3 linked regions of the Callithrix jacchus genome follow. The protein of the gene in region 2 interacts with the protein of the main gene of each other region in a pairwise test. Links are inferred from orthologs where the notes say so. Each region holds a gene or a part of one and is shown on either strand. Other genes may lie near its edges. The genes, in order: OLFM3, STUB1 and HSPB1.

Evidence for each region.
Region 1: the proteins of STUB1 (region 2) and OLFM3 interact in binary tests that used the Homo sapiens proteins (3 or more experiments, as listed by UniProt). The two-hybrid records come from large-scale screens. The link is inferred for Callithrix jacchus from reciprocal best matches to the Homo sapiens genes STUB1 and OLFM3.
Region 3: the proteins of STUB1 (region 2) and HSPB1 interact in binary tests that used the Homo sapiens proteins (3 or more experiments, as listed by UniProt). The link is inferred for Callithrix jacchus from reciprocal best matches to the Homo sapiens genes STUB1 and HSPB1.

The regions. Positions count from the first base shown.
Region 1 is NC_133508.1:144,020,554-144,027,575, forward strand, and holds part of OLFM3 (noelin-3), read left to right. Parts: intron 1-5,084; coding exon 5,085-5,240; intron 5,241-7,022.
Region 2 is NC_133513.1:2,939,196-2,946,701, reverse strand, and holds STUB1 (E3 ubiquitin-protein ligase CHIP), read right to left. Parts: upstream 5,116-7,506; 5' UTR 4,994-5,115; coding exon 4,835-4,993; exon of another isoform or gene 4,690-4,834; intron 4,396-4,689; coding exon 4,197-4,395; intron 4,112-4,196; coding exon 3,946-4,111; intron 3,879-3,945; exon of another isoform or gene 3,751-3,878; coding exon 3,663-3,750; exon of another isoform or gene 3,499-3,662; coding exon 3,442-3,498; exon of another isoform or gene 3,368-3,441; coding exon 3,251-3,367; exon of another isoform or gene 3,191-3,250; coding exon of another isoform or gene 3,169-3,190; coding exon 3,043-3,168; 3' UTR 2,792-3,042; downstream 1-2,791. Other genes in the region: GATOR2 complex protein WDR24, read left to right, coding at 11-351, 432-616, 705-873; JMJD8 (jmjC domain-containing protein 8), read left to right, coding at 1,236-1,321, 1,399-1,488, 1,628-1,676, 1,758-2,007, 2,097-2,216, 2,304-2,371, 2,449-2,583, 2,661-2,741. UniProt on the Homo sapiens protein: E3 ubiquitin-protein ligase which targets misfolded chaperone substrates towards proteasomal degradation.
Region 3 is NC_133503.1:11,062,355-11,069,175, reverse strand, and holds HSPB1 (heat shock protein beta-1), read right to left. Parts: upstream 3,585-6,821; 5' UTR 3,545-3,584; coding exon 3,181-3,544; exon of another isoform or gene 2,740-3,180; intron 2,498-2,739; coding exon 2,434-2,497; intron 2,323-2,433; coding exon 2,133-2,322; 3' UTR 2,013-2,132; downstream 1-2,012. UniProt on the Homo sapiens protein: Small heat shock protein which functions as a molecular chaperone probably maintaining denatured proteins in a folding-competent state. Plays a role in stress resistance and actin organization.

The sequences.
Region 1 (7,022 bases), on a different chromosome or scaffold from region 2:
CAGAATAATGACTACAGCTAACATGCATCTAAACTCTTAGAAACCATGACAGAGCTGGGTAATCCCAGCACTTTGGGAGGCCAAGGCAGGTGGATCACCTGAGGTCAGGAGTTTGCAAACAGCCTGGCCAACATGGCAAAACTCCATCTCTATTAAAAATGCAAAAGTTAACTGGGTGTTGTGGTGAGCACCTGTAATCCCAGCTACTCAGGAGGCTGAGGCAAGAGAATCGCTTGAACCCGGGAGGTGGAGGTTGCAGTGAGCCAAGAATGCTCCACTGCACTCCAGCCTAGGTGACAGAATGAGAATTATTATTATTCTTGGATTTTATTTTCCAATGTTGATTTTTTTATTTATATAAAAACTCAAACATATAGGTTAATTGTGTTTGTTTACCAGGGAAATTATTTACATTAGAAAAAAGATTTAATATTTTACATCCAATTTTGCTTTTCTGTTATATTGTATTTCCATTCAGGTAATCAACATTCTTCACCAATCTTCTTTTCTACCCAGAAATATCTGTTTTTCTACATGAATTAAGGTGAAACATTTTCTTAGACACCATACTTTATCTTCTGTGTTGCTGTTTTTCAGTACAACATTACATACACCTACACATAGGTTCAAACATGTCTTCAAATACCAGTTGAAAAAATTCAAATAAAGTATAAATGTCAGAAGTGGATAATTCCATTTACAGGTTCAAAGTGAAGTGTCTTTCAGGGCTATGATAAAGCTGGGAATTAGTAAAAGATGAATAAATTAAAAATGTATGAAAGTATTTCATTGGTTGGATGAAAACAATATAGAAATTAATATGACCACTCCATCCATCCAATGCGTAATTTGTCTGAATGTTTTAAAGAAATTCTAGAACATCATGCCTTTAAAAATTTATTAATACATAAATGACAAAAAAAAACACAAATAAAATGTATTAACAAAATTGAAGTTACTACAAGGTAGATGTATTAAATGTACCATCTGGTAGTTTTAGAGCAGCGGAGGAATCCTAAATTGTGTGCACTCTTTTACAGTGGCCTGGAGGAGGTTAGGTAGCCCTGATTTGCTGCACCGATCCAGAGGAGAAAAGACATCTGAGACACCATGGTATTTTAGACTGATCAGTCCCTGGCTGCCCTCTCTAGAGTTTCACATGTATCCAAGACACCAAAGGGAAAACAAGAGCATCATGACCTCTAAGTGCCTCCTTCACTTTTAACCAGAAAGATCAATTTAGTTGTATATAAGGGAATATTGTTAACAAAAGCGATATTTACAACAACAATTCCCATGAGTAGTATATTTTATATTTTGTATCCACTTCTTTCAATCCTTATAAATGGGGTAGTTATCTAAATTTACATAAAAGAAAACTGGTTGTCTAGTCACTCAATCAGTAAGCTGTGGGCTGTAACATCCATCTGCAGCTTCTCAATGCTATACCAGTGTCACACAAAATGCCACAGGTATGTCCACACTTATTTAAGTGACGTTCTGTTAAACATTTCTAACAAGTATTTATATTATTGAATATTAGAAAAAATATAATCGGTTTCACAGTATTTCAGGTCTTAGTATGCCAAAACTAAAATTGCTCACCTAAAAAAGTATACGTTTATTAACTATATAACTTCCCTGTACAGTTAAAGATGTGTTGTATTATCTAAGTCGGTATTTCCTAAAGTATGATTTTTTGAATACGATACTGCCAACATCCTCACCAATAAAATCAGTTTAAGAAACACTGTACATGATACTTCACTCTTGAAGATTTCTAATATACAGTTTACTACTAGAGGTTTTGTTAAGTCCCACAGTCAGGAAATCTGTTTATATGTGTTAAACTCAAGTTATTCAAACATATTTAATCAATAGAACTTTTGTTTTTCAAGTCTCGCCTTACTAATTATGAGAGTGAAAATCTAAGTTAATTTGTGTTTAAGTTCAAAAAAGCCCCAGATATTTTATTTATATGAAGAACAAGAATAAATAAAGATTCCAAAAGAATTATTTAAGAAAGGGGACAATGAGCTTGTCAAACTATGCAGAGAGAGCCTAAGCACAGAAACACCTATGAAAAGGTGAATCACAGAACTGCAGAGACAAGCCGACAAAAAGAGGGAACACAGCAGACAGATCTCCTTCCCTACACAAGTCATCATGTGTATCCAGTCTGCTGTATCATCAGGAAACTGATGCTCCATGGGCCTCCATAGCCATCGGGAAACTAAACAATCCTAGGTACAGCCAGCAGGAGATGCTTAAGACAACCTGGAGCCAAATGCTGCCCTATTAGACAACTCTATCTCTAGCCATTACCACAAATGTACCTCTTCTAATTACACATGATTCTGCAATATAGGTCACAATCAAGTCTCAGCAAAAATTCTCTCAGTGCAATTTCCCATAACACAAATGAAGTTGAAAATTCACTTTATAGGGCGAGTCAGAGGCAAAAATAAAGACAGCCTATTTTTTTTTTTTTGAGACGGAGTTTCGCTCTTGTTACCCAGGCTGGAGTGCAATGGCGCGATCTCGGCTCACCGCAACCTCCGCCTCCTGGGTTCAGGCAATTCTCCTGCCTCAGGCTCCTGAGTAGCTGGGATTACAGGCACACGCCACCGTGCCCAGCTAATTTTTTGTAATTTTTAGTAGAGACGGGGTTTCACCATGTTGACCAGGATGGTCTCGATCTGCCGACCTCGTGATCCACCTGCCTCGGCCTCCCAAAGTGCTGGGATTACAGGCTTGAGCCACAGCACCTGACCGAAGACAGCCTATTTTAACTTTATCCAGAGTACCTTATTTTGCCCATCATTTTCTAATTATATGGACTTGGTCCAAGTACATAGAATCATTAGCAGGACATCAGTTATACTAATGGTAGATGTCTTCACAGACAAATGCTGTATTTAAATAGGTAGACAGTTTTTTTAAATGCAAATAGCTTTTCTGTATTCATGCTCAACCACAAATGAAGTTAGAAAATTATGTTGAAAGCATTGCATTTATCCACAATGGCGTTATCATGTTTTCAATGTTGTCTTGGTAATTTTGTGTTGCACTAAATATTTAAAAAATTAAAAACAAAGATTTCTGAATATAAAACTTTTAGTAAATTAAGAAATATTTATAGTCCTGAAATGCTGTTGCCTAACCAGAAACAGGAGGGGGAAGACTCTTCTTAAAATTCTAATTACTTATTATTACTACTACAAACTCAAGATAAGTTTACTCAATAAATATTTATCAAACACTTGTTCTGTGCCTAGTTCTGTGTAAAGTCTTGGAAATGGAAGATATGAGTAAGACACAGCTTGTAACCTCATGGAGCTCACAGAGGGAGAGCCACTTCCCTGCCCCACCCCCAACACCCACATAACACAATTAGGTTTAAGATAAGCTGGACTGTAATATGTCCTAAAAGGACAGCATTCAAACAGGGCAAGATGATGGATCAAGACAACATAGGGAACAGAAAAGGGTGAAAAAAGGCAAAGAACTGAGGCAGACCAAGGCAGTATTCATTGCCTTTTACCAATATTACAGTTCTAAGAACTGTATCAACTACGGGACCTTTACAGCGTCTGATCCACTAAGCATTGTGACTTTATCTGATTACAGAAATTTGTGCCTGAACAAGTCATCCCTTTGTAATTCACATTTTTTCAATGAAAATAACTTTTTACTGATTATATGTATGTGAATGTATGTGTATTTGATTTAGAATAAACAGATTGGCTGGGCTCAGTGGCTCATGCCTGTAAACCCAGCACTTTGGGAGGCCAAGATGGATGGATCACCTGAGGTCAGGAGTTTGAGACCAGCCTGACCAATATGGTGAAAGCACGTCTCTACTAAAAATTACAACCATTAGCCGGGCGTGGAGGCAAGCGACTGTAGTCCCAACTACTCAGGAGGCTGAGACGGGATAACTGCTTGAACCCAGGGGCCAGAGGTTGCGGTGAGCCAAGATCGCGCCACAGCACTCCAGCCTGGGTGACAGAGTGAGACAAAAAAAGATCAAATTATGTAAAGGTTTTACATTTGCTTTTCTCGTTGAAATCTTTCCATGTTGAGCAGTACTTCTCAAACCTTGATAGGCATAGGAATCACTTGGGAATCTTGATAAAATGCAGATTTTGATTCAGTAATTCTGGATGAACATTTCTGAGATTTTGCATTTCTGACAAACTCCTAGGTGATACCAGAGTTGTTGCTTTGACTACTAACCGTACAGAGATTAACTTATTCTTTATAATGGATCATTCATATTCAGTTTCTCTAATTATTTAACAGCTTCCATTATTAGTGGCTTTCACTTTGTTTTCAGGTTTTTGCTGCCACAACAATTAGACCGGTCGTTTTTTTCCTGTCATTTCTGCATCTTTTACAGGCTACCTCTTTTTTACTTCTAAATAGCCCAGGGTTCAGTGAACCTGGAATGGTGCTATTGGCTTAAAATGTGTTTAACACCTGTCTACAAAGCACTTGATACAGTTACCACTTTCTGGGTCCCTTAAACACTATGCTGCTGAATTTATGCAGTGTTCCAGCACTGCTATAACCTGTCTTGGTCAATTCCATCTCTCCCCTGCGACTACTTTAGACACATTAAGAACTTATTGTACTAGAATGAATGCATTCTAGTCCTTTGGACACTTCACTACCATCCGTAATTGCTAAACATCCTAGATATTTAGGAAGTCAGAATTCGTACTTACTGAAACAACTTATTTTGGCATTTAACATGTTGGGGCATTTTAAGCTAACAAACCCTTAAAATGAAAAACTTGTTTTTAAAGCTTATTTTTCTAATGTATTAAACTCAATTATACTCAGTCAGTTCTAATGCTGGAATGCCCATTTTTAAATTTCCTGTCTAGGTATAATTTTCTCTTGCTGAATTCTTTAAATGTTTATCATGAAGAATTGTTCTTCTGAAAGTATGTCATATGGGAATGCAATTATGAATTTGGCACTTCTAGTTTTTATATCAATGGCATTTTTGCTGTTTCTTAGTAATTGCACAAACCTGCAAACAGACAGTAATTACAGACAATATTCTTGTTTAACAGGTTCAGAACATGTCCCAGTCTATTGAGGTCTTAAACTTGAGAACTCAGAGAGATTTTCAATATGTTTTAAAAATGGAAACCCAAATGAAAGGGCTGAAGGCAAAGTTTCGGCAGATTGAAGATGATCGAAAGACACTTATGACCAAGCATTTTCAGGTAGGTTTGACTTCTGCAATCTTGTCAATCCAAATCAGACCCTAAGTAGGATGGACAGCAGTGGAGCACTCAGCTAGAAATGACCGTTCATTGGCCCATATATGCAAGGGAAAAGACTCGTGGAGAATTTCAGTCATCTCTCCACTGAAACTGACCATTAGCAGCTGACAGGAAGACACAGAAGGCTTGCTATGAAAAAAGCCTCATCCTTGTAGAGTTTGGTGGAGAGGGAAACCCCAAGGAAAAGTAATAATTAAATTATAAATATTTCTCAAATGGTTTCATGCCCTGCTAATATGAAGAAAGATGTAGATGACATAAATTTTCGAAAGAAATAACTATGCCATAAATATGAGCATATAGAGAGAGTTATTTTATACTTTATACAAGTCAAGTCTTTTTTCTAGATTTTAAGTGTTTTATTGGCAATTATTTACAAATACTGAAGATGGAGAAATAAATTATGCTATGTGGACATTTGTTAACTATGTATAAAAGAGATATGAATTTTAAGGAAAAATTCTTGGTCTGATAATGTAGTTTGAGCTTCTGTTAAAAGTAAATCATCTGCCTTTCCAAGGCACAGCCCATAATTCATAAAACACACTACGGTTGCCCACTTAACAGCCTCTGTTTTTCTTGCCAATTAGGAAGTGAGATTCACTGCTGATGTTGAGGGAGTGGATCTGAATTCAAGCCCTTGGGCAAGGAAAGGAGCACTTCCTGCACCTAATGGTGGCAAGTGGGGAGCTAGCGAGGAACATGTAACAGAGTCTCTGCATAACACATTTTAATGTGGCAGAAAGTTTCATGGTTTTGTAATTTTCTTCAGTGGTACTCAAGAGACTGAGTAGAGAGGTATGGAAGAGAATTATACCCTGAACTGGATTTAAAGCTTTACCAAGAAGGTCATAACAGAAGTAAAAGAGGGAGAGGAAGTTGAGGGTATTGAAACGAGAGGGAATGGAAGTGATTAATCATGAGGTTTAAATTGAATAGAGAAGTAAACAAAGCCAGCAGGTTAAGATATTAGGACAAATTAGAGCAAGACTTGGAAGATACAATAATAAGTTTAAAGATTATTGAAAATGAAAGTATGAGTGAAATGGATAAATAGGAAACTTATGGATAAATGGTAAAGACAGAAGTATATGAGGTTGAAGAGCAAAAGAATTAATTTTAGGCAGTATTTATTGAGCCCATACCACACACAAAGTACGGCTGGCCCCTCTGCTGGATGTATTAACGTAATCTCTCTTCTATGAAAGACAACTCACACACAGGTGAATTGATAGTGAGTAGAGGCATAAGCATTACTTAAGAGCACAAAGGGAAGAGCAATTAATTTTGTTTTAAACAGGAGAAGAATTACAGGAAAGCAGTTTGGGACTAGTGACCCTACCCCTCCACTACTAAGTTATAGGGGGTCAAGAAAACCAAAAGATTTTCTGTGTCAATTTTCAATGCTCAGAGTTAGAGTGTAGACGGTAAAGTAACAATGTGAATCTAATGTTGAGGTCATCGGCAAAGTAGAAAATAGTAAGCTGGCATTTAGTTGTGGGAAGAGCATTCCTAGAAGGAACTAACCAGGAGGAGAGGATCTGAGATTGCTTGGTGGAGATGGACAATGCAGTGAGAATTCTGTAAAGCCCAAGGACAGCTTGAGAGTGTCAGGGTTGACAGGGCTGAGGAATGTGTAATGAAGTATGTTCATCTTTGGGAACTTTTGAGAGAAGACAGAAAACAAAGAAACAAAAAAAGATAAAAGCTGAGATAAACCCA
Region 2 (7,506 bases):
GGCCTCCCAGCCGAGGAGCCCGAGTGCGTGCTGCCGCAGGAGGCCTTTCCACTGCGCCACGAGATTGTGGACACACCTCCCGGGCCCGAGCACCTGCAGGACAAGGCCGACTCCCCGCATGTGAGCGGCAGCGAGGCGGATGTGGCCTCCCTGGCTCCCGTGGACTCCTCCTTCTCGCTCCTGTCTGTCTCACACGCGCTGTACGACAGCCGCCTACCGCCCGACTTCTTCAGCATGCTGGTGCGGGACATGCTGCACTTCTATGCTGAGCAGGGCGACGTGCAGATGGCTGTGTCTGTGCTCATCGTCCTGGGTGAACGGGTGCGCAAGGACATCGACGAGCAGACCCAGGTGTGTGGTGGGCGGGGCCTCCTCCCTCCGAAGGCTTTGCCCTGCGCCCCGATTCCGACCGCCACGCGCTCCTTTCCCAGGAGCACTGGTACACCTCCTACATCGACCTGCTGCAGCGCTTCCGCCTGTGGAACGTGTCCAACGAGGTGGTCAAGCTGAGCACGAGCCGAGCCGTCAGCTGCCTCAACCAGGCCTCCACCACCCTGCATGTCAACTGCAGCCACTGCAAACGGCCCATGAGCAGCCGGGGCTGGGTCTGCGACAGGTGGGCAGTGGGGTCGGGAGGTGGGGAAGGGGCCTGCAGGCAGTGCAGGAGCCCCCGCTGAGGCGTCCGCCCTCCCGCCCGCCCCCAGGTGCCACCGCTGCGCCAGCATGTGCGCCGTCTGCCACCACGTTGTCAAGGGCCTGTTCGTGTGGTGCCAGGGCTGCAGCCACGGCGGCCACCTGCAGCACATCATGAAGTGGCTGGAAGGCAGCTCCCACTGCCCCGCGGGCTGCGGCCACCTCTGCGAGTACTCCTGAGCGTTTGCTAGGCTCTGGGGACCTGACCGCCCGGCCGGCCACGTGCAAAACCCCGCCTGGTCTTGGGCCCCAGACGGGCAGAGGCTGGAACTTGAAACCCCAATAAAGGAAGTGGAATCGCTGTCCGCGCGGGGGCTTGCAGTGTGCTCGCCGTGCAGCTGCTGGGCGGGGGCTCTCTCCGGGGCTGTCGCCATGGTAACCAGCGATGCCAATAGGCCTCTTCCGGGGCGGGGCAAAGGAGATCACTTCCGGAACCATCCGGGCACCCGGCGGTTGCCATGACGACGAGGTTGCGGCCAATGGCTGGCGGACGGGCCTGAGGTTCCCGGCGTGCAGCGCGGCTGCCTGAGGGCGGCGGGCTCATGGCGCCGGGGTCGTGGTTGCTCGCGCTCTGGGCGCTGGCGGCTCTGGTTCTACCCAGCTCGGGGGAGGAGGGCGACGGCGGGTGGTGAGCGGCCCGGGAGGGGCCGGGCGGGGGGTCTCGTGCGGCGGGTAGGGCGCGGGCTGACCGGGCTGTGCCCGCAGGCGCCGGGGCGGGCCGGGGGCCGCGGCCGAGGAGCAGCGCTGCACGGTGGAGCGCCGCGCCGACCTTACCTACGCCGAGTTCGTGCAGCAGTACGTGCGCCCCTGACCGCGGAGATCGCGCCCTGGTCACCCGCCCGCCTAAGGCGCCTTCCCCGAGCTCCCGCGAGTGTGGGGCGGGGGCGGCGAGGGTGGCGGTCGAGCCTGGGCGCGACTCTGCCCTTCCTTCCAGGTACGCGTTCGTCAGGCCCGTTATCCTGCAGGGACTCACGGACAACTCGGTGAGCGCGCGCCCGTCCCCGGACACCCTCGCGCGTGCTGGGCCCGGCCTCTAAGCCCCGCCCCCGCCCGCCCCCCCGCAGAGGTTCCGGGCCCTGTGCTCCCGCGACAGGTTGCTGGCGTCGTTCGGAGACAGAGTGGTTCGGCTGAGCACCGCCAACACCTACTCCTACCGGAAGGGTGAGCCGCCCCACCCCGGGCCCGCCTGCTTGCCAACGCCGCGACGGCTGCAGCAGCCGGTCTTGACCCGTCCCTTCCCTGCAGTGGACTTGCCCTTCCAGGAGTATGTGGAGCAGCTGCTGCACCCCCAGGACCCCACCTCCCTGGGCAATGGTGAGTCAGCCATGTATGGCGGTGTTGGGGCGGCGACACGCTTGGAGCCTCCCAGTGCCGGGATCCCTGCCCCACCGTCTCTGTTGCAGACACCCTGTACTTTTTCGGGGACAACAACTTCACTGAATGGTCCTCACTTTTTCGGCACTACTCCCCACCCCCATTTGGTCTGCCGGGTACCGCTCCAGCTTACAGCTTTGGAATCGCAGGTGGGTGCTCCTTGGGACTGGGGAGGAGTGAGGCTTCTGAGAGTGGGTACTAAACAGGTGGGTCACTAGGTGCTCGTAACCCCACAGGAGCCGGCTCGGGGGTGCCCTTCCACTGGCACGGGCCTGGGTACTCGGAGGTGATCTACGGCCGTAAGGTCAGCCCAGGGTGGGTGTCGGGGCTTGGGTGGATGACCCAAGTGGGCAAGGGTGACGCTGCTGCCCCTGCCCACAGCGCTGGTTCCTCTACCCACCTGAGAAGACGCCAGAGTTCCACCCCAACAAGACCACGCTGGCCTGGCTCCGGGACACATACCCAGCCCTGCCGCCGTCTGCACGGCCCCTGGAGTGTACCATCCAGGCTGGTGAGGTCAGTGGCTGGCAGGAGGGACCGGGCCAGGTCAGAGGCCCGCAGCTGATCTCGGCTGCACCCCCTTCCTTCACCAGGTGCTGTACTTCCCCGACCGCTGGTGGCACGCCACACTCAACCTTGACACCAGCGTCTTCATCTCTACCTTCCTTGGCTAGCCGTGGCAGCCGGCAGGCACTCCTGTCACACAGAGCACTTCTTCCCCAGCTTGTGCTCACGGATTTTATTACACAGACGGTGGCCGCAGCCCAGCCCACCCTCACCTGCTTTTCCAGCCCAGAATGGGGGACGGGGAGGATCACAGCCCAGCAAGAGCTATGCTGAGAGGGGAGCCGTCCAGAGCCCAACAGCAGAACTGGGGGGAAGGGAAAGGGTGGCCAGGGACACAAGCTATGTACAGGGGCTGGGGGCTTCTGCCCGTGGCCCTCCGGGGCCAGGACACTGGGCAGGGCGAGGAGCTCAGTAGTCCTCCACCCAGCCGTTCTCAGAGATGAATGCATCAATGACCTCCTTCATAGCCAGGTTGGGAATGAGCTGTTCCTGCGTCAGGGGGCTCCGGGTCACAGGGTCAAAATGGCCTACACGCTGCAGTGACAAGAGGCAGAGGCTGCTCAGCAAGCCTAGGACCCTGCTGCTGGCCCTGCCCACCCCCTGGCCCCAGCCTCACCTGCAGGTGCTCCTCGATGTCCTTGCGGTCGTAAGTGATGCCACTGGGTGTGATGCACGGCTCCCGCATCAGCTCAAAGCTGATCTTGCCACACAGGTAGTCAGGGATGTCGCGCTTCTGTGGCACATGGGCACAGGGTCAGAGGCTGGGAAGGGGCTGCTCCAGGACCTACCACCCACAGCAGCACTCACCTTCCTCTTCTCATCCACCTGAGAGAAGAGCTCATCCATGTCCGCCATGTATCTGTCCTGTGGAAAGTTGAGCAGTGCTTGGGAGGGACACCCCACTTCCCTCCTCCGTGGTACCCAGACCCAACACGAGGCAGGGACACACAGACCCACAGCAGGGTGGGGACGCTCCCGTGCCACGTGTGCACACACACAGACCCACATGTGGATGGGGGCACCCTCACGTGCTTGGCCTCAATGCAGGCCTGCTGGGCCCGGACGTGACTGTCGTCCTCGTCACCCTCGTGGTTCTGCTGGCACTCTTTCAGCTCCCTGGGGGATGACCAGGAGCCCGTCAGAGACGGACCTGGCCAGAAGATGTCTGACCACACCCCAGACTCAGGGCTAACATCCAGGCTTCTTCCCCACATGCACTGCTCGCCAGTAAAACTTTCAGTAAACATTCGTGTTGGCGGTTGGTTATTCAGAATTATCCCCAGACAGCGCGGCCTGGGGTAAGGGTCCCACCTCTCACGCTCCGCCGCAATGAGCCTCGAAAGGTAGGAGTGCAGCTCACTCTCCTGGTGGATGCGCCGCTCCTCGATGCTGTTCCAGCGCTTCTTCTTCGCGATTCGCAGAGCGCTGGGGATGTCGTCCCCAAAGTTCAGTCGCTGCTCCTTGGCCAGGCTGTAGGCTGGGGAACAAGGGCTTCCGGTCACGCTGGCCAGTCCAACCGCCTGGTCCCAGGGGCCCCGCACCCAGGCAGCTTGTCGGCCAACCTCGCTGCAAATTGGCGATGGCCTCATCATAGCTCTCCATCTCCAGCTGGCACTGCCCCAAGAAGAAGTGCGCCTTCACAGACTGCCCGTCCAGCTCCAGGGCGCGCCGGCAGTCGGCCAGGGCCTGCTCATGCTGCTGCATCTTCAGGTAGCACAGGGCCCGGTTGGTATAATACACGGCCACCAGCGGGTTCCGGGTCTAGGGACCAAGGCCGGGCCAGCCGCATCAGGCGTAGGCTCAGCGCGCCCCCTCTGTCCCAGGGCCCGTCCCAGCTTCTGCGATCTGGCTACGATCAAGAACCTAGACCTCTCAGTAGCCAAAGCCTCTGGGTCCAAGGATCTGCAGACACGGGACTACTGGCTGAGCCTACACACCTCACTCCGGTTGGTTCTGTAGAGTTTTCCAAATCTTTGGAGAGTCCCAGCTTTGGACCCTGGCCTCCCACCCACCCGGCCGGCCTCCATCTAGCATCCCACCCTCGTTCCCCGGCACCTGGCGCTGGGATCGAGAACCAATGCTGGGCTTTCGGAGCCCAGGATACCCGCCGCGGAGGAGCCAGACCCTCGGCGGGGCCGGCCGATCGCGGGCGTGGCCCTCCGACTCGCCGTCGCCGCCTTCCCCACGCGGGCGCACTCACGATCGCGCGGCCGTAGCAGGCCGCCGCCTCCGGGTACTTTCGGCCCACAAACAGACGGTTGCCCTGTTCCTTGAGCTCCTGCGCGCTCGGGCTCTTCTCCGGGCTTCCGCCGCCAGCGCCCAGCCGCGCGCCGCCCTCCTTCTCCTCCTTGCCCTTCATGGCGCCGAGCGGCACGGCCTGGGCTGCGCTCCCAAGCTCCGCGCCTGACGGCCCTGCACCCGAAGCCCGAGCCCGAGCCCTGCAGCCCGAGCCCACGATCAGCTCGGGCCCGGCCCAGCTCCGCCGCCGGAACTTCCGGCCGGGGGCGGGATCGGCGGGGACGCAGGCGTCGGGGGGCGGGTAGGGCCGCGCGTGCGCCCAACCAGCCTGGGCGGGGACAGTCGGCCCGCGACGTAGCTGGCTGCGAGGAACGCTCCGGTTCCCTGGCCCCGCGTTTTTCAGGGTCGGCATTCGCGGAGGCCAGCCCCGCCCCGCCCCGCCGAGGCCTCTCCAGAACTGGCCTCGGTGGCGGCCGTCCCATATATCCGGTTTTCTCCGTGAGGTGCCTCAGCCTTGGTTCGCTGAGGGCGTGCTTCCCTAAAAGCCTGTCCCGCCCACGTGGGATTCCGCCCCTGCCCCAACCCGTAAAGACCCCATCTGCAGAGGTCCCGCCCCCAGCAGCCCGCCCCGCCCCCAACAACAGGCCGCATCTGCGGCGGTCCCGCCCCCGGCACCCGCCCCCACTCCCAGCACCTGGCCCATCGGCAGAGGCCCCGCCCCCGCAGCCACCCCCATCGGCGGAGGCCCCGCCCCCAGCACCCGGCCACGCCCCCATCAGTCAGCCCCGTCTGCAGAGGTTCCGCCCCTGGCAGCCGGCCCCGCCCTCGGGGGGGGGTCGACTCCGTTTGCAGAGGTCCCGCCCCCAGCAGCCGGCCCCTTCCGCAGAGGCTCCGCCCCTGAGAGCCGACCCCTCCCCTCCACGTAACATGGCGGCCTCCCACGCGCTCTGGGGCTGTGGGGACCCCAGCGGCTTGCTGGGCTGCCATCCTGGAATGCCACCGAAAGGTGCTACGAGCGCGCGCGGGCCCCCGAGAGCGGCTGGAAGCCGTGGACCGTTGGTAGACTGGTAAGAGATAAAGGGATCCGTGGGGCGAGTGTCCCCGTGGCCGGACCTCCCCTCACCCCCTTTTCCAGGTAACGGGAGGAGTTGCTGGCGGCCATCAAGGGCCGAGCGGAGAAGCACGTGACGCGAAGGGAGCTGGAACGGCTGTTAGTCTAGAGGCTGCCGGTGGGGTGCGGCCCCGCCTCCTCGTGTGCGGGGCCTCCGTAGGGCGGGTCTTCAGGGAGTGGCGTCGGTGGGGCGGTGCTTCCTCGTGGGCGGGGCCTCCTAGGGGCGTGTCTTCGTGGGGGCGGGGCTTTGTCGTGGGGCGGGGTTCCTGGAGGGTCCACCACTCCAGGCATCCTGACCTGGCCTCCCACAGAGAGGCCGCTTTTGGCCATGTCTTCAGCAGCCTGTGGCCACCAATCCCCTGAGCTGGTTGTGCACCGCTTGACCTCCGCCTTCTGACTCCTGCCAGAGTCGGGGGCCGCAGTCATAAAGTTGTGTGCCCTCCGCGGTGTGGGCCCACCACAGGTGAGTCGGGTGTGCACGACCTGGGTGCACAGGCATCCTTGTCTGTGAAGCCGGCAGTCTGGGCCCTTGCATGTTCCTGGGAGCAGGAGCAGGGTCTCCCAGAGCTTGTCCTGATGGGGTGTCTGGCTGCTGTCTCCTCGCTGCTCAGAGCAGTCCTGGCGGTCGGAGCTCCACAGCTGGAAGCCTTCTTGTCAGATGAGGCAGTGGCCACAGTGCCCAGTCTTCTGACCCCACAGTACACCCTCAGGCACAACCTGCTGTCCCTGGGCCGGGTTCAAGCTCTGAGCCAAGGTGAGCAATCTGTGCATGGGCAGGGTGGGGGGGGGCCTGTGCCCTGGGCCTGACTCCATGTGCCCCTCCCTAGCCAGTGCCTCAGGACAGTGGACTCCTCACCTAGTGGAGACAGCGCTGTGGACCGGGGCCTTGGGGCAGAGGCTGTGCCCACACCTGTTGCCCAAACTTGGCCCCAGCTTGGCCACCCACGAGGATGCTAGGCCAGCGAAGAAGCGCAGGACCCAGGCTGAGTGGACTCGGCTACGGCCCTGGCCCACTCACCTGCCACACAACCTCAGGCCTCGGGTGTCACTGGATGCCAGGGAGGCTGCCACCATGGAGCTCAATAAACACTGCCAAACTCACGCCTGACCACACTCCTGGCCTGACACACACCTGGCCCCCAGCCCTCCCCGGTGCCCGTAACTCCCACAGACCTTCGCCTGTGGCCCGGGGAACAAGTCCCACATGTGACCCCAGGTGCAGAGGTGCACAGGGAGGACAGCCAGGCTCTCGTGGTGGGCAGGGCCCTCACGGTCTGTTCAGCGGTTGTGGAGGTCCTGGCAAGTTTCCAGAGCCTGGGATAGCCCCTTGGTGCTGTGTAAAATATTTATTAATTATCCAAAAAGGCTCAGACTGCAAGTCCTGGGAGTAGGGAGTTGGCCGGGACAGGGTCTCCTCTGAGGCCACCCACACCCAAGGGGCACAGCAGCCCTGAGACGTCCGTTCACAAGGGCAGACACGAAGGCCCAAGGGGGGCAGCCACCATGTGCCAAGCCATGGCCTG
Region 3 (6,821 bases), on a different chromosome or scaffold from region 2:
AACTAAAACCTGATTGGCTAGTAATTTAAAGCTTTTTTAAACAGGTAAGGGGCTTCAGCTGCATACCTGTGAGCACGTCCAGCACAGACATCTTGGTTAAAGTACAAGGATGTAGAATGTACTACGTGCCTGTAATCATGGCGTGTCTCACAGCTACACAGGATAGGGCTTCACAAAGAGTTACTAGCACGCGTATGATTTATTCTTAAACAAGAAGGAAATTTAAAGAGGAACTTTTCTACTTCCCACAGCTGAGAAAAGAACATGGGAGTGTCTTGCTACAGCCTCAGACTCTGGGTCCCTCAAAAAATTGAGGACATCAAAACCAAACTCCAAAGCCCCCATCTGCTTTTGTTTGTTTGAGACAGAGTTTCTGCTCTTGTCCCCCAGGCTGGAGGGCAATGGTGCGATCTGGGCTCACTGCAACCTCCGCCTCCCAGGTTCAATTGATTCTCCTGCCTCAGCCTCCCGAGTAGCTGGGATTACAGGCGTGCACCACCTCGCTTGGCTAATTTTTGTATTTTTAGTAGAGACAGGGTTTCAGCATGTTGGCCAGGCTGCTCTCGAACTCCTGACCTCAGGTGATCCACCTGCCTTGGCCTCCCCAAGTGCTGGGATTACAGGCATGAGCCACTACGCCTGGCACCCCCATCTGCTATGTACCTCCACAGCTTTCCCTGGGCCTGGTTAGAGGGTGGCAGCTAGGGCAAGGGCAGACAACAGAGGAACTGGGCCCATGGAGGCCTGGCTACACCGGGAGGGAGGCCAACTGAAAATAAACACAGGCAACAAGAATCGCTGGCAGAGCCAGCAGCACAGGTCTGAGCGCGTCGGCCAGGGTGCTACCCAATCTCCCCACCCAGAGACTGCGGGCTCCGTTCTCACCCCAGTTCTGCCTGCCAGTTCCCTTGTGACTGCCAACAGGGATGCCCTGGCCTCAGGGGGTGTGGCAGTGACGACCTCAAAGCTTACCAGGTCCACTGTGGTGCCCTTGGGTGCGCCGAAGCCGAAGCCAAGCTTCTGACGCAGTAATCTCTGCGGGGAGGTGCAATTACCCCCGTGCCCCTTCACCTGGGCCCCAGCCTCGCCGACCGTGAAAACTCAAGCCTCAGGTGCTTCCCATTTCCTCCGCTTCCACACCTTACAGTTTTAATTGCAACCATGACCTTGCAATCACGACCTTTTTTTTTTTTCTTTTAAAGACAAGGTCTCACTCTTTCTGAGTTTTTAGTTATTTATTGAGACGATCTTGCTCTGTTGCCCAGGCTGGAATGCAAAGGCACAATCTTAGCTCACTGCACGCTTCAACTCCTGGGCTCAAGCAATCTTCCAGCCTCAGTCTCCTGAGTAGCTGGGACTACAGGTGTGCAATAACACCCCTGGCTAATTTTTATTTCTGTTATTTTATTATTTTTTTTTTTTGAGACAGTCTTGCTCTGTCACCCAGGCTGGAGTGCAGTGGCACAATCTCGGCTCACCACAACCTCTGCCTCCCAGGTTCAAGTGATTCTCCTGTCTTAGCCTCCTGAGTAGCTGACATTACAGGCATATGCTACTACGCCTGGCTAATTTTTGTATTTTTGGTAGAGATGGGGTTTCAGCATGTTGGTCAGGCTGGTCTCGAACTCCTGACCTCATGACCTGCTCCCCTCAGCCTCCCAAAGTGCTGGGATTACAGGCATGAGCCACTGCAACTGGCTTTTTATTTTTAAGAGATAGGGTCTCACTGTGTTGTCCAGGCTGGTCTTGAACTCTCAGCTTCAAGCAATCCTCCTGCCTCAACTTACCAAAGTGCTGGTATTGCAGGTCTGAGCCACAATGCCGGGCAATAGGACCTCTCTGTCTTTATGGATGTGAATTAGCCTGTGCCTAGCAACCTACACGGGAGTACCCACATGGCCCAGCACGGGGCTGTGCACCCAGCACACCCTGAGCAAAGGTGGCTAGTGTAAGCCAGGGAATGGCAGGTGCCCGAAGCTTCCTTCCACAAACACCAGGGTCTGAGCCAGTGACAGGTGGGTTGCTTCAAACTTTATTTGAGAAAAACAAATAAACGTATCAAAAGAACACACAGGTGGGGGGGGAGGCATGGCCAGTGGCGGCGGCACGGGTGGGCATCCGGGCTAAGGCTTTTACTTGGCTGCAGACTGGTCAGATTTCGCAGCTTCTGGGCCCCCAAGCTGGGCCCGCGACTCGAAGGTGACAGGGATGGTGATCTCGTTGGACTGTGTGGCTGGCTTGGGCATGGGGGCCTCAACGGTCAGTGTGCCCTCAGGGGACAGGGAGGAGGAGACCTGGGTGGGGTCCACACCAGGGGGCAGCCTGGACGTGCAGAGAGGGAATGTGAACGTTACATTACACTTCGGGTGGGTCCCTGTGCCCTCCTCCCTAGCCCCCGGCACCCACCCACCCCGACCTGGCGGCAGGACTCACGAGTATTTCCGGGTGAAGCAGCGGGAGATGAATCCGTGCTCATCCTGCCGCTCCTCGTGCTTGCCTTCGGGGGACAGGAAAATCAGAATGAGGGAAAGGGGACCGACTCTCGGCCCCGCCAGGCCAGAGGCCCCACCTCCAGCTTGGAGGCAGCCAGGACTGCAGGCTGGCAGGGATTAACAGAGGAGACTGGGGGTGGGGGCGTGCCGGCCTGTCCGGGCTCTCAGAAACTTCCGGAAAGTTCGAGTAAGAGTTTTGGGAGGAACGGAGCAGGGTGCCGAGGGGCGGAGGGAGCAACGCGCAGGCGCACTGGGAGGAGCACGCACGCCCCTCGCGCGGCTAGGGACAGGGACCACGCCAGGGGACCCGCTTATCTGCGGATGGGGCTGCGGGTGGGGAGAGAGTTCCGTGGAAAGAAGCATTTCTTCACCGATGATCTTTTAAAACATTTTTGGTTGCTTTTTAATTTTCTTGTAGTTGGTAGGGGGGGAGGTCTCGCTATATTGCCCAGGCTAGTCTTGAACTCCTGGCCTCCGCCTCCCAAGGCGCTGAGATAACAGAGCAGAAAGCGACCTTAGAAGCGACCTGCACTCCCGATTCCTGAGCAGGGGAATCACGGACGGATCCCGTTTTTCCCGGTGCTGGGCTAACTTTTAACTCCCCAGGCCCGGGGTTTCAACCGCACCCCCGGGCCCCGCCCTCCCCGCTAGCCTCCTCCCCTCCCCTGCAGGGCCAGGGGGTGCTCACCGGTGATCTCCACCACGCCATCCTTGGTCTTGACCGTCAGCTCCTCGGGGGCGAAGTGGTTGACGTCCAGGGACACGCGCCAGCGGTCCGCCGTGTGCCGGATCTCCGAGACCCCGCTGCTGAGCTGCCGGCTGAGCGCGCGGCTGTAGGCGGGCGCGGCCACTGCGGGGCCCTCGACCGCGGCGGGGGGCAGGGGGCGCACGTAGCCCGGCCAGCTGCTGGTGCCGAACCACTGCGACCACTCCTCGGGCAGCCGGGGCATCCCGAATGCCTGGTCGAAGAGACGGTTGTGCGGGTACCAGTCGCGGAAGGGGTCCCAGCTGGGGCTCCGCAGGAGCGAGAAGGGGACGCGGCGCTCGGTCATGCTGGCTGGCTCTGCCCGGGACGTCTGCTCGGAGAAGTGCGGGCCGCGGTGCTGGGTCGCGCTTTTATGTGCCTCCGGTTGGGTATTTTTAGCAGGCGGTGTTTGAGGTCTCTATTAATGGAAATGACCCGTTTGGGACCGCCTCTCCCCATGCACCCCTCCCCCCCATCCGCAGAGTTCAGGGGGCCGTGGGCGGGGCGAAGAGGGTTCTGCCCCAATCTGGAACCTTCTCTCGTTAAGGAAAACAAATGAGTTCGAGAGTGCGACGCTGGAGACGTGCCACACTAGGGCACTCGGAGGCCCTGGTGCTTCAGCGCTGGCGGGTGTGGCCGGCGGCCAGGCCAGTCCTTTTGTTAAGCAGGACAGCGCCAGACAGGTTGGGCTGGGGCAAACAGCTGGGAAGTGGCAGAGGCAGGGTTGGAACCACAAGGCTGTGTGTGGAATGTGATGTAAAGCAGTCTGGTGCTTGAGTCCAGGAGTTCGAGGCTGTAGTGAGCTATGTTCTCACCGCCGCACTCCAGCCTAGGCAACAGAGCAAGGCCCTGTCTCAAAAAAATAAAAAGGGGCTGGGTGCATGGCTCATGCCTGTAATCGGCACTTTGGGAGGCCAAGGCAGGAAGGATGGATCCCTTGAGGCCGGGAGTTTGAGACCATTCTGGGCAACATGGTGAGACCTCACCTCTACCAAAAAATGTTTAAAAATTAGCTGGATGGCTGGGCGTGGTGGCTCACGCCTATAATCCCAGCACTTTGGGAGGCCGAGGCGGGTGGATCACGAGGTCAAGAGATCGAGACCATCCTGGTCAACAAGGTGAAACCCCGTCCCTACTAAAAATACAAATATTAGCTGGGCATGGTGGTGCGTGCCTGTAGTCCCAGCTACTCGGGAGGCTGAGGCAGGAGAATTGCTTGAACCCAGGAGGCGGAGGTTGCAGTGAGCCGAGATCGTGCCATTGCACTCCAGTCTGGGTAACAAGAGCGAAACTCCATCTCAAAAAAAAAAAAAAAAAAAAAAGGAATCTGACAATCTGTGTGGTTGCAAGGTGTGTGGGCTTTGGGAGGTTAAGGTGGGAGGATTACTTGAAGCAAGGAATTTGTGACCAGCCTGGGCAACACAGTGAGACCCCATTTCTACTAAAATTCAAAACAAATTAGCTGGGGATGGTGGCGTGCATCTGTAGTTCCAGCTACTCAGAAGGCTGAGGTGGGAGGATCATTTGAGCCCAGGAGGCTGCAGTGAGCCTGATTGTGCCACTGCACTCCAGTCTGCATAACAGAACAAGACCCTGTTTCTTTTCCTTTTTTTTTTTCTTAAGAGGGGGTTTCACCATGTTGATCAGGCTGGTCTTGATCTCCCGACCTCAGGTGATCCGCCCGCCTTGGCCTCCAAAGTGCTTGGATTACAGGCATGAGCCACCACACCTGGCCCACCCTGTTTCAAAAAACAAAACAAAAAATTATATTACTGTGGTTTTGTTGATTTATATTTTTTAAATTTGAGATGGAGTTTTGCTCTTTTGCATACCCAGTCTGGAATGCATAAGCAGGATCTCAGCTCACCGCAACCTCTGCCTCAAGGGTTCAAATGATTCTCCTGCCTCAGCCTCCTGAGTAGCTGGGATTACAGGCATGAGCCACCATGCCTGGCTAATTTTGTGTTTTTAGTAGAGATGGGTTTTCTCCATGTTGGTCAAATTGGTCTCGAACTTCTGACCTGAGGTGATCCACCTGCCTCAGCCTCCCAAAGTCCTGGGATTACAGGCATGAGCCACTACGCCCTACCACTGTGTTCTTACTGTACGTCTTCTATGTTTATTTGTAATTTTTTTGAGATGGAGTCTCCCTCTGTCACCCAGGCTGGAGTGCAGTGGCCCAATCTCGGCTCACTGCAACCTCTGCCTCCTGGGTTCAAGCGATTCTCCTGCCTCAGCCTCCCGAGTAGCTCAGACTACAGACATGTGCCACGACACCACCTAATTTTTGTACTTTTAGTAAAGACAGGGTTTCACCATGTTGGCCAGGCTGGTCTGGAACCCCTAACCTCAAGTAATCCACCTGCCTTGGCCTCCCAAAGTGGTGGGCTGACAGGTGTGAGCCACCGCGCGGCTGTCTTCTGTGTTTAGAAACGCTGCTACTTACCATCATGTTGCAGCCACCTCTAATATGTGGTGCAGTCATGTGCTGTAGAGGTTTGTAACCTAGGAGGGGGAGGCTAAACCGGACGGCTTAGGACCTAAGTGCACTCCGAGGTGTTCCCACAACGATGAAATTGCCAAACAAGGCATTTCTGAATGTGGCTCCGTTGTTAAGTGACTCATGACTGTACTGGGTTGGCCTGAGAATTCAGTGACCTAATGCAGGTGAAGGCTTTAGCCCAGAGCCTAGGTCATCATAATTATTAGTTGTTATTGTCTGCCTAGGATTGAAGAGAGAAGGGGAAGGAGAATTGCTGGGGTTTGGCCATTTTCCCCCAGCTCCTAACAGTGGGGCTGGCCCAGATCAGAACTCTGAAGTCGCAGAGGGGTCAGGAGGAAGGTTACAGTCACGTCTCCCACTATATCTGTCTTTCTTTAAGAAGCACTGGTTGGCGGGGCGAGGTGGCTCACACTTGTAATCCCAGCCCTTTGGGAAGCTGAGGCTGGTGGATCACCTGAGGTCAGGAGTTCGAGACCAGCCTGACCAACGTGGAGAAACCCCGTCTACTTAGAATACAAAATAAGCTGGGCATGGTGGCACATGCCTGTAATCCCAGCTACTCTGGAGGCTGAGGCAGAAGAATTGCTTGAACCTGGGAGGTGGAGTTTGTGGTGAGCTGAGCGCTCCAGCCTGGGCAACAAGAGCAAAACTCTGTCTCCAAAAAAAAAAAAAAAAAAAAAAAAAAAAAAGAAGCACTGGTTGGCCAGGTACAGTGGCTCATACCTGTAATCCCAGCACTTTCAGAGGCCGAGGTGGGCTTATTGCCTGGGTTCAGGAGTTCAAGACCAGCCTGGCCAACATGGTGAAACCCTGTCTCTACTAAAAATACCAAAAATTAGCCGGGTGTGGTGGTGGGCACATGTAATCCCAGCTACTGAGGAGGCTGAGGCATGAGGTTACAGTGAGCCAAGATTGGGCCACTGCAGCATTCCAGCCTGGGTGACATGATCTGTCTCAAAAAAAAAAAAAAGGGAGACTTAGTGTCTCAGGCCTGTTGTCCTGGCAAATAAGGGGGTGAGGTTACGCATTGGAGGCCAGCCTGGGCGACATAGAAAGCCCTCTTCCATATAACAACAACAAC